3 linked regions of the Macaca fascicularis genome follow. The protein of the gene in region 1 interacts with the protein of each later gene in a pairwise test. Links are inferred from orthologs where the notes say so. Each region holds a gene or a part of one and is shown in the gene's direction. Other genes may lie near its edges.

Region 1 (3,751 bases):
TAGATGGGGATTTGCAGGCCTTGGGTCTATAGGTGTAGGCTGGGCTTGGGACGGGCAGGCTTTCCTTGCCTCTGGCCCCAGGGCCCTCTCTGCTACTTTATAGCATCATTTTTCTAGCTTTTCTTGTGTCATTTTTTGGGGCCAAGACCCAGTTAGCCAGTTAGGAACCCTCTGTGATGAATTTCTAGGGGAAGAGGCTTTTATAGCCACTGGGATACAGCCCTCCATGATCAATTTCTAGGGGAGAGGCTTTTATAGCCACTGGATACAACCCTGTAGCAGGACCCTCAGAAGTCTGTGACTGTCCAGACATGCTCAGGGCCCTAGTGATAGCAAAATTGAGAGAAGCCATGATAGCAAGAGGAAGGAGAGTAGCTGAGTAGCCATCAGTTTGCACAAGCTCTGGCTCTCCCACAGACAGACGGCACTCCTCATTTGGATATATCTCATTGCCCCTCCTATTCTCTCTCTAAGCTGATGGGTGTTGCATGCACACAGCTCCCACACATCCCTCACTGAAAGAAAGGTCCCATATTTTACTTTAAAACCTCTTGTATGCACTATCCATGGTGATATTTAATGGGCCGGGTCCAGACTGTCGTGTGACTTGGAAACTTCCCCGACTTAACTCCCACTAGGATTTTTGCCTCTAACCTGAAGGAACGCATGGCCCAGCGCTTCTACAACCTTGTCCTGCTCCCGCGAGTACGAGATGACATTGCTGAATACAAACGACTCAACTTCCATCTCTATATGGCTCTCAAGAAGGCCCTTTTCAAACCTGGAGCCTGGTTCAAAGGTGGGATCCCAGAGGCAGGGAAGAAAGTGAAGGGCTGGAGCTTCTATGGGGAACACAGCAGGCCTGGTGTGGGAAATTGCTAGCTGTCCCTGGGCTGGGTGGGAATGCTTCCTACTGTAACTCCTTTTTCTCATCCTGGGCTCATAGTGACTGCCCTTTGACTCTCCCCAGGGGTCCTGATTCCACTGTGCGAGTCTGGCACTTGCACCCTCCGGGAAGCCATCATTGTGGGTAGCATCATCACCAAGTGCTCCATCCCTGTGTTGCACTCCAGGTAGCGTTGCTGGGGGTGGAGCGGCGGGGTGGGGGCTGGTCAGTGGATATCCAGATAGTGGAATTGCCAGGACTTGGGGATGGGTAGAGTGGAGAAGAAGCTAAGGATAGTCTTGGGTTTGTGCTTATTTAAGCCAATGAGTAGGTGTATCATTATCCCCCTAAATGTAAGTTCTGCAACAACAGGGCCCGAGTGCCTGGTATAAAGAAAGTACTCAGTAAATAGATGAACAAATGAGTAGGAAACACAGGAAGAAAGTAGTTAGGGTGGAGACGTTGAGATGTTTGGACCATACTCTAGTTGGGTACTGAAACAAGCAGTCTATGCTGGAGGTAGAGATTTGGGTGGATCCCTGTAGAGATGGTGACTCAAGTCAAGCGAGTATAATACGATTGGGTAGGTGAGAAGGTCCCTGGGGAATACCATAGTGTAAGGGCCAGCAGAGGGGAAGAAAAAAGGGGGAAAGCACAGAGGGAGAAGTAGGATCCTTCTTCCAATGTTTTCCCCGCTAACTCTACCCCACCTCCCTTTCCCACTAGCGCGGCCATGCTGAAAATTGCTGAGATGGAATACAGTGGTGCCAACAGCATCTTCCTGCGACTGCTGCTGGATAAGAAGTATGCACTGCCTTACCGGGTGCTGGATGCCCTAGTCTTCCACTTCCTGGGGTTCCGGACAGAGAAGCGTGAACTGCCTGTGCTCTGGCACCAGTGCCTCCTGACTTTGGTCCAGCGCTACAAGGCCGACTTGGCCACAGACCAGAAAGAGGCCCTCTTAGAACTGCTCCGGCTGCAGCCCCATCCACAGCTATCCCCCGAAATCAGGCGTGAGCTTCAGAGCGCAGTCCCCCGAGATGTGGAAGATGTTCCCATCACCATGGAGTGAGAAAACAGTCAGTTGTCCTGGCCAAAGGGGTTTGGAAGGACACCAAGACCCCCGTTGGTGACTGAAGATGACACCAAACCTTAATGGCTAAAGACCCAGATCAGGGCAGTGACAGATCACAGGAACATCTGTGGCTTCCAGTCCAGGACAGGAAGGACTGAGGGTCTGGCTGGTTCCCTCTTCCATTCTAGGCCCTTACCCCTGTTCAGTTCTGAGAGCCGACTTATACCATACACTGGCATTCCCAGTCCCCAGCTGGGGCTTGGTGTGAGTACTTTTTCTATGGCTATTGTGTCAGGTCACTGTGGATAAAGGCAAAGGCAGGTATTTATTGAACCTGTGTGTTTGGTGTAGTAAATGGAGGTGGGCATTACTCCTGTTAGTATCTGGAAGATGGAGGACATTCTTGTCCCGTTTATATAGGAGCCACCTCCCTTGATCTCCAAGCTTGTTTCTCCAGGCTACATTCACCTTGTTAGCCACCTGGGGACACATCCTCTGCCTTCTCCCATGACAGGCTGCAGCAGCCAGGAGCAGGTTGTCCAAAGATGGTCATGTGTCAGCTGTGGATGAAAGGACTACAAGAGAAAACTTGAGGAAAGCAGAGATACAGTCAAGAAAGGCCAGAGAATAAGGCTGGGCCCAAGAAGAGTTAGATCAGAGCTAGCATCAAACAGGCTCCCTTTCTGGCTTTTCAGCCAATGAAAGCTTTAGTGACTAGTAAACTACGGCCAAGTGCCCCTTTTTTTGTTGATTTATTTTTTGAGACAGAATCTCGCTCTGTTGCCCAGGCTGGAGTACAGTGGCATGATCTTGGCTCACTGCAGCCTCCGCCTCCTGGGTTCGATAGATTCTCTTGCCTCAGCCTCCTGAGTAGCTGAGACTACGGGTGCGTGCCACCACGCCTGGCTAATTTTTAAATTTTTAGTAGAGATGGGGTTTCACCAGGTTGGCCAGGCTGGTCTCGAACTCCTGACCTCAGGTGATCCACCCGCCTCAGCCTCCCAAAGTGCTGGGATGACAGGCGTGAGCCACCGCACCCAGCCCAAGTGCCTGTTTTTGTGTGGCCCATGAGCTAAGAATGATTTTTCCATTTTTAAATGGGGAAAAAAATTAACAGTATTTTGTGATAGGTAGGAATTACATGAAATTCCAGTTTCAGCATCCATAATTTTGTTGGAACAGCCATGCTCACCCATTTACATGTTTCACGTGGCTGCTTTTGTGCTACAACAGCAGAGTTAAGTATAATCCTGCTATAACCCTTATTTGCTTCCAAAATTGTGCATTTGTTCCAACCCATTTAATATATTTGGGAACAGTTTGATCATAACGCAGGCTTAATGTTTGCTTGTGTATGATTTCATCCTCGAGAAACATTAGGTGAATATGGGAAACTGTACCCAGCTGAACCAAGCCTAACTAGTACACAAAACTCACACTTGAACATGTACCAGCTACCTCACTTAGCTGCCCACCTGTGTTGAGCAACCCTTCCAACATCCACTTCCAAAAGCAAAGTGCATGTCTTCAAGATAAAAGGCCGTATTTATTGTAATATTTATGTATTTCTCAACCATTTGACATGTAAAAACCAAGCTATCCTTTTTTTAACATGTGTCACTCATTTGAGTGTTGTGCTTCAAGCCCCATTTTTCCCATGAGACCTGTGGTTTTTATTGTGCAAATTGCATGGCATAGTGATTTTCAGGAACACATAGGTCACATTATAAAGAGAACTGATTATATTTGGGTCAGAGACCATATAGCCCGCAAAGCCTAACTATCCAGCC
Region 2 (3,582 bases), on another chromosome or scaffold:
TTGGTGATCAAAACGTATTGACGATCAAAGCCACATTTACTAGGTCCCTGCTCATTTTCAGGTCTTGTGTGTGGAGGGACATAAAGGTGACCAAGACCAGAACCTGTCCCCAAACAGCCTCCAGTCTGGTAGAGGCACTTAGGTACTAGGCAATTCCTCTCTCTAAAGCATTCTCTAAGGCCCTGCTTGACGCCAGGCTGACGGAAAGGGCGGAGGACAGAACTGAAACAGAAGTTGCCCTTTACCTTGAGGACCTTACAGACTCTGAAGAGAGACCAAAAATCACGGGCCAGAACCACCCAAGGCAGCGAGCGAAATTCCCCCCAGAACAAAAGTATGAGCCAGGGGTGGGGAGGACAGAGGGACGAGTTCCATTCTAGAACACTGAGCAGGGACTGTGGACCCACATTGCTTTGAGCTCAAATCACGACTTTTAGCCCGGTTTTTACTTCTCTTATAGGTTCGTTGTGAGGGCTAAGTGAATTCATATAAATTAATCCAAGCTTCTGCATGCTTAGATAGTAAGCGCTGTGAACGCCAGCCAGTCTTATTCAAATATGGGGAAGGGAGGGTCATTTTTACTTTAAAAAAATAATAATAAAAGTAAAACCCCTCTGAAGGGAAGCTTTAGGGGAAGACGCGAACAAACCTGCCGCCACCAATCTAAATTAGAGAAGAGGGCGAGGCGGGGCGCCGGGAAGCTGACGGGGATAGCCATGCGCGCGCCCGAGACCCCTTTACGTGCGCGCGCCCGCTACTGGGTCTCGCCGAAGGCGTGACCGTAAAGGAGCCCGGCTCTGTCGTGAAAGGGCCGCAAAAAGGCCGAGGGCGAGTTGACGGCTGCGACTCCATTTCGCAGGTCGCTTTGCTGTGTGTATCCACGGCGATTCTTCCCACGGAGTTCTAAAGCTAAAGGCTTACAATTAAAAGGAAGAAAAAAAGTAAAGATAATTCGGGAGTACTATTGACAAAGCGTGTGGGCTCAGCCTCCAGCAATCACTGCTGATCTCCAGTCCCTGGGGGGTTCCGGTAAGAAGAACGCCCCTCCGGTACTGAAGAAGCGGCAGGAGGAGATGCGGCCCCTGGACATAGACGAGGTGGAAGCGCCTGAGGAAGTGGAGGTGCTGGAGCCGGAGGAGGACTTCGAGCAGTTCCTGCTCCCGGTCATCAACGAGATGCGCGAGGACATCGCGTCTCTTATACGCGAGCACGGGCGGGCGTACCTGCGAACCAGGAGCAAGCTGTGGGAGATGGACAATATGCTCATCCAGATCAAAACGCAGGTAGAGGCCTCGGAGGAGAGCGCCCTCAATCACGTGCAGCACCCGAGTGGCGAAGCCGACGAGAGAGTGTCGGAGTTGTGCGAGAAGGCTGAGGAGAAGGCCAAGGAGATTGCGAAGATGGCAGAGATGCTGGTCGAGCTCGTCTGGCGAATAGAGAGAAGCGAGTCTTCTTGAAGGAGGAGATCGGCGGTAAGGTCGGAAACTCGCGGGAGCTTGGATGGAACTCAGTAGTCCCCCTAAGCATGGTTAAACCGCGCCCTGTAAAAAGTTATGTTCTAGGCCTGCATCCCCCATTTTATCGCATCAAAAATTGAGCATTGGGAACAAAGTTGGGGTCAAGAGGAAAGAATGCGTGCTGGTTTTGTTAGGTGTTAGTATACCGTTTTTTTGTGGCCTCGCCCTCCCACACTGGTAATTAGAGAAAAATAAAAGTAACTTCGGGTTTGTTTTTGTGAAACGTAAGTCAGTTCTAATAGGGCAGTCGCCAGGAAGTAGACCTGTCTCGGCACTAAGGGAGTTTGGGGAAAGCCACAGAAGACCTAGGCTGTGGAGCACAATGGAACGCAGGCTGAGAACGCAGGGAAAGAAATAAAAGAGTAAAGCCAGAGGCCATTACCTGAAATTTCCAGACTGTTCTATGAGACAGGTATGTCAGAGGACCGTGTCTCAAAGAAGTGGCATTCTTCTGGGTGGTTCACATTTATTTTTAACATCAAGATATGGAACTTTGAGAGTCAATGTCTTCATGGTAAATTTCTCCCAATTGTGCTTTAGGTTCACAGCTGAGGACTGTAGTCAACTGGTAAGGATGAACTGACACCTTGAGGAAACTGAAACAGCTTGTCATTTTCTCTGTTTTGTTTTTGTATGTTTTTTACCCCCATGTAACAGTCTCCCTTATGGTCAGTGATTGATGACCTCGATATGGATTTAGATCATCAAATGTGTTTGGTTCTGGAAATACAACTTTTGTCGAAGAAATACTTTCACAAGAGAAATGGGGCTTAATTAAGTTGTTTTCGTGGTCACGTTTATTCTTGTTACTTCGCTGTGTTTTTGAAATGTTGGGCATGGCCTTGTATTTTGCTGTTACCTTTGTGACCTGATCGTTTTTTGGAACACGTCAAGACTTGGGATCAGAATCTTCCAACTTTAGAGGTGCAGTGGAAGATACTACGCTGCCTGGTTGAGCCTGGTGAAGAATGTATTAATGAGACTGCTTTGCATAAAGCTGGGAAGAACGAGAAGACAGTTGGAGATGGAAGGTGGTTTTGTATATATTTTGGAACTTTAGTTCCTCTGTGAGATGAAAGAGGAGAGCTATGTTTTGTGGCACATTGTCTGATATATATTGTGTAACCTGTCAGGTGAGTTGATTTAGACCACATAGCTGACCTTTTATGACAAGGCAGTTTGATTAGGAACTGTCGTAATACCCTCACACATTACAGGGGCATCAGAGAATGGCATCGAAGAGACAGTCTACAAAGAGCTTTAAGAGGCCAGAGAAAGGAAAAGACATTATCAGGGCCTGGAAAGTCTCTTCCAGTTCATCAGGGTAGTAGACCTGTCAGATTGGAGGTCAAAGTCAAACGTATAGTAAGTATTAATTTGCCTTGAAAAACAAAGACCTAAAAAGCCTTTTTTAAAAAATAAATTTTTTGTTCACATGACCAAAGCCCCTCCTGTGTGTGTTAATAAAAGAATCATAAATCAATCTTTTTGAAATGGATGTTCTTCACTGAGTGTCATCAAATGGGGTTGAACTGCTTGTAGTTAAAGGCTCTTGGTAAGCCTTTAACTGAGGGAGAATTATTTCTGGAAGGTGCTGTGGAGATGAGCTGACGGAACACTCAGTTCTGAAGAGAAAAACTTTTCGGCTATCCTCTGGGCCAAGCCCCTGCTTTTCAGCAGCAGAAGTGTGTTTAGTCAACCAGTGGGAATGTAACGTGCTTCATATCTTATCCAAGGCACTAGGAACATAAAGGTGAGACATGGATGGGACGAAGGTGTGGGACAGAAATGGAAACAAGGAATTGCGATATAGAGTGTGTGGATATCATGTGGGAGCCCTGAGGAGGGAGTCAACTCTTAGTAGGGAAGTGTGTGAATTCAGAGCAGGTGACTTACCTGGGCCTGAAAAGTAGAAATGAATGAAGACATATAAGGCATAAGGATCAAAGTGAGCAAAAGCCTTTTGAGTTCCAGCACTGGGGAGACGGCCAGTGAGCTGGATGTTAAGGAGCCTGGAGGGGGTTGTGGGAGACAGAGTGAAACTGGCAGGCGGGGCCAAGAGATC
Region 3 (3,751 bases), on another chromosome or scaffold:
AGAGATTTGTAATTTTTCAGAAGTGTTTTTGAATCCTTGAACTCATATTTGTTGCAGAGCAGCGTCAATATACCATGAGACACTCTAAGAACTTTTTGCATAAGTGTTGATGTGTAAAGAGAATCACTAAATTCAAACCTAACTCTGCCCAGGGAGTAATAAATCCTCAGAGACTATTTTAACTCACTTACATATGTTCTTCTGGTTTGGTTTCTATTATCAGCTACCTAGGAAGTAGCCCTCAGGATTAGGGGAAAAAATAAGTTTATTCTGGATCAAAAAATTTTTAACTTTTTCAGATTACTGTGTTTTCTTTTCCTATAATGTTCTCAAAAATTCTACAGGCAATTTTCTCTATGCACCTTTGAAAATGAAATAAACATAACGACTAAAACCAAGCAAAGTGAAACAGATTATGCTTCATAATGGAGCTGAAATCCAAGACAGAATCCAAAAAAGTTACACATCTCAAGTTCCTATCTGTCAGATTTGGCACCAGAGATTTCATCCAGTGGAATCACTGATTTGGAACCTAAATAAAATTTTATTTTGCAAGTTCCAGCAGTTTTAATTTTCATGAAATTCAGGCCTTCATAAATAAATAAATAGGAGAAAACAGGCTGTACATCTCAGAAGAAAAGACTCCTGTGGGTTCCTTGTCCCTACTCTGAAGTATAATCATTGAGGAATTCCCAAGGGACTAAAAGGTTATAACTTACAATTTATATTTCACTCTCATTAGAAATACACGTAAAATAGTGTAACTTATCTAATAACAAGAAATGAGAAATGGGGAGAAGGCAAGTTTCAGAAAATCAAAGATCATAATTCCAGCTCTAACCAATTTATATTTTAGCCTGCAGAAAAACAAGTTATTCCTATCAGTTACGTAAAGTGACTTTTCCATTTGTACGCAGGTAGACATGTTTGTATACACACACACAAACACACACACACACATTAAGTCCAATATATAGCTCACTCCTCCAGTCTTGTCAGCACATACTCTGAGAACACAAAAAGCATTGAAAGATTGCTAATCACACTGACCATTTTTATGGTGGTGGCACAAACAAATAAATGTCATTTTATGAGCTGTAATACTAATTTTAAAAGGGGACCCAAGCAATCAATGCACAGAATCAAAATCTGTGGACATGTTATTTTCCTGATTTGTAATGAGTTGTATCTATAATTATTGATTGGCCAAATTTTCTCTTTCTTTTCTTATTCTGTCAAAAGGACAATGTTTCCTATGACAATTTTCTGAAATAAGTGTTTTGTCTGGCACATGGAAATGGTGTAGGTCCTGCTTCGGTAACCTAAAGTTATCCCTCTTTTATGAGGCATAAAACTCTTCCTCAGTAAATAAACAACTCTAATGAGATGTTTGTATGAAAACTGGCACCATCAGTGATAAAGAAAACATCCGGTGCAGTCTGTAAACACCCATTTTGGGGCGTTATAAAACTCTCAGGAGGGAAGGAGAGTTTTGGAGTCAAGGCAACTGAAGTTTTGCAGCCAGCCTCTGTCTTTGCTTCTGGAAGGATGACTTCTGACTGTTCCTCCACACACTGCTCTCCTGAATCCTGTACCACGGCCTCCGGTTGTGCACCTGCCTCAAGCTGTTGCATAGAAACAGCTTGTCTCCCCGGTGCCTGTGCTACATCCCGATGTCAGACTCCAAGCTTCCTATCCAGGTCTCGCGGGCTGACTGGTTGCCTCCTGCCATGCTACTTTACTGGGAGTTGTAACAGTCCCTGCTTGGTGGGGAACTGTGCCTGGTGTGAGGATGGGGTGTTCACTAGCAATGAGAAGGAGACGATGCAGTTCCTGAATGACAGACTTGCCAACTATCTGGAGAAGGTGCGCAGCCTGGAGGAGACCAACGCAGAGCTGGAATCCAGGATCCAAGAACAATGTGAACAGGATATCCCAATGGTGTGCCCGGATTATCAGTGTTACTTCAACACCATTGAAGATCTCCAACAAAAGGTGTGTGTCCTGTTGCCCTAGTGCTCCACCTTCCGGATCTATGACTTGCTTTATCTTTCTACCAGAGGGACGGTTTTCCAGAAGGCAACCAAGGGAAAGGGGAATTCCAGGAGTTAATGGTACATAGGGGAGACCACTGGACTGAAAGTCAGAAAACCTCAGCACCAGCGCCAGAACTACCCCTGATAACTGAGTGACTATAATAAAGTAACTCGCCCTTAGGCTTTTCCTTCATCATCTATAGAATGCAGAAAAACTGTATTACATCCAAAATCGCTTTTGTATTTGACACTGAACATTTATATTATCTGAACACAAATCGTCAAATGCCATCTTTTTAACCACCTAGTAATCATTTGCTTGTCTCCTTGATGAATTTCTATTATTATGGGAGAGGATAGAGTCATAATACAAACTACTGATGGAGAAAACGTTAATGGTGTTCAACTGCCTAGGGATGTTGCAAAGTGTCTTATGTTATTAAAAAACTAAACCTTTTTATTTCTCTATTTTGCTTCTAAATTGGCACTGCTTTTTTCTTCATGAAGCGACAAGGTCAATAAGAAAAGCAGGCTGAGGGTGATTTTATACTTTCTTATAAAGACTTTCAAAAGATAACTAATGGCACAGCTGTTGGATAGAAGTTTATTTAGGTTTCTCTCAAAGAATCATTTGTCACATAATGGCTTGCTTCCCAGATCTTATGCACGAAAGCAGAGAATTCTAGACTTGCTGTACAGCTTGACAACTGCAAACTGGCCACTGATGACTTTAAGTCAAAGTAAGTTTAATTTAATTTAATTTAATTTAATTTAATTTAATTTAATTTACTTATTTTGAGGAGTTTCACTCTTGTCGCCCAGGCTAGAGTGCAATGGCGCTATCTCGGCTCACTGCAACCTCTGCTTCCTGGGTTCAAGCGATTCTCCTGCCTCAGCCTCCTGAGTAGCCGGGATTACAGGCAGGCGTGCGCCGCCACCCACACCCAGCTAATTTTTGTATTTTCAGTAGAGATGGGGTTTCACCATGTGGACCAGGCTGGTCTTGAACTCCTGACCTCAGGTGATCCACCTGCCTCGGCCTCCCAAAGTGCTGGGATTACAGGCATGAGCCACCACACCCTGCCTTAATTTTAATTTGAAAATAATTTATGGCTCGCTCTCTCTCTCTCTCTTAATCTCTCTCTCTCTCACACACACACACCCCCACAAATATTCTCTATATAATATTTTAAAGTCAAGAATGTTTTAAAAGCTTGAATTTATCATTACTTAGGAATTAAGAGAAATTATGCATGTGGCTTCCTGAAGTCCATGTGTCGATCCTCCACGTATCCCCACACTTTGCACAGCGTTCAGCAAAGTAAGCATTGGATTTCTCTTTTGCCGTGAAAGGTACGAGAGTGAACTGTCCTTTCGCCAGCTATTAGAGGCAGACATCAGTGGCCTGCATGGGATCCTGGATGAGCTGACCCTGTGCAAATCTGATGTGGAGGCCCATGTGGAGTCTCTGAAGGAAGATCTCCTTTGCCTTAAGAAAAACCATGAAGAGGTAAGGAAAGCGGCAACGCCACTGAAGGACTCCGAGAGTAACGTACTTAACACTGACAGATGATCTGTTGATGTTTGTAAATCAAATTTGGGCGGATGTTGCTTAAGCTGGAATAAAACTACTCCAGGCAGGGCCAAGCGCGGTGGCTCATGCCTGTAATCCGAGCACTTCGGGAGGCCGAGGCAGGTAGATCACAAGGTCAGGA

Evidence for each region.
Region 2: the proteins of BYSL (region 1) and MRFAP1L1 interact in binary tests that used the Homo sapiens proteins (3 or more experiments, as listed by UniProt). The two-hybrid records come from large-scale screens. The link is inferred for Macaca fascicularis from reciprocal best matches to the Homo sapiens genes BYSL and MRFAP1L1.
Region 3: the proteins of BYSL (region 1) and KRT40 interact in binary tests that used the Homo sapiens proteins (3 or more experiments, as listed by UniProt). The two-hybrid records come from large-scale screens. The link is inferred for Macaca fascicularis from reciprocal best matches to the Homo sapiens genes BYSL and KRT40.

The regions. Positions count from the first base shown.
Region 1 is NC_088378.1:129,635,204-129,638,954, reverse strand, and holds the end of BYSL (bystin), read left to right. Parts: intron 1-638; coding exon 639-799; intron 800-970; coding exon 971-1,073; intron 1,074-1,612; coding exon 1,613-1,958; 3' UTR 1,959-3,572; downstream 3,573-3,751. UniProt on the Homo sapiens protein: Required for processing of 20S pre-rRNA precursor and biogenesis of 40S ribosomal subunits. May be required for trophinin-dependent regulation of cell adhesion during implantation of human embryos.
Region 2 is NC_088379.1:6,384,394-6,387,975, forward strand, and holds MRFAP1L1 (MORF4 family-associated protein 1-like 1), read left to right. Parts: upstream 1-830; 5' UTR 831-1,073; coding exon 1,074-1,457; 3' UTR 1,458-1,472; intron 1,473-2,057; 3' UTR 2,058-3,000; downstream 3,001-3,582.
Region 3 is NC_088390.1:62,068,526-62,072,276, reverse strand, and holds the start of KRT40 (keratin, type I cytoskeletal 40), read left to right. Parts: upstream 1-1,494; 5' UTR 1,495-1,548; coding exon 1,549-1,995; intron 1,996-2,693; coding exon 2,694-2,776; intron 2,777-3,389; coding exon 3,390-3,546; intron 3,547-3,751. UniProt on the Homo sapiens protein: May play a role in late hair differentiation.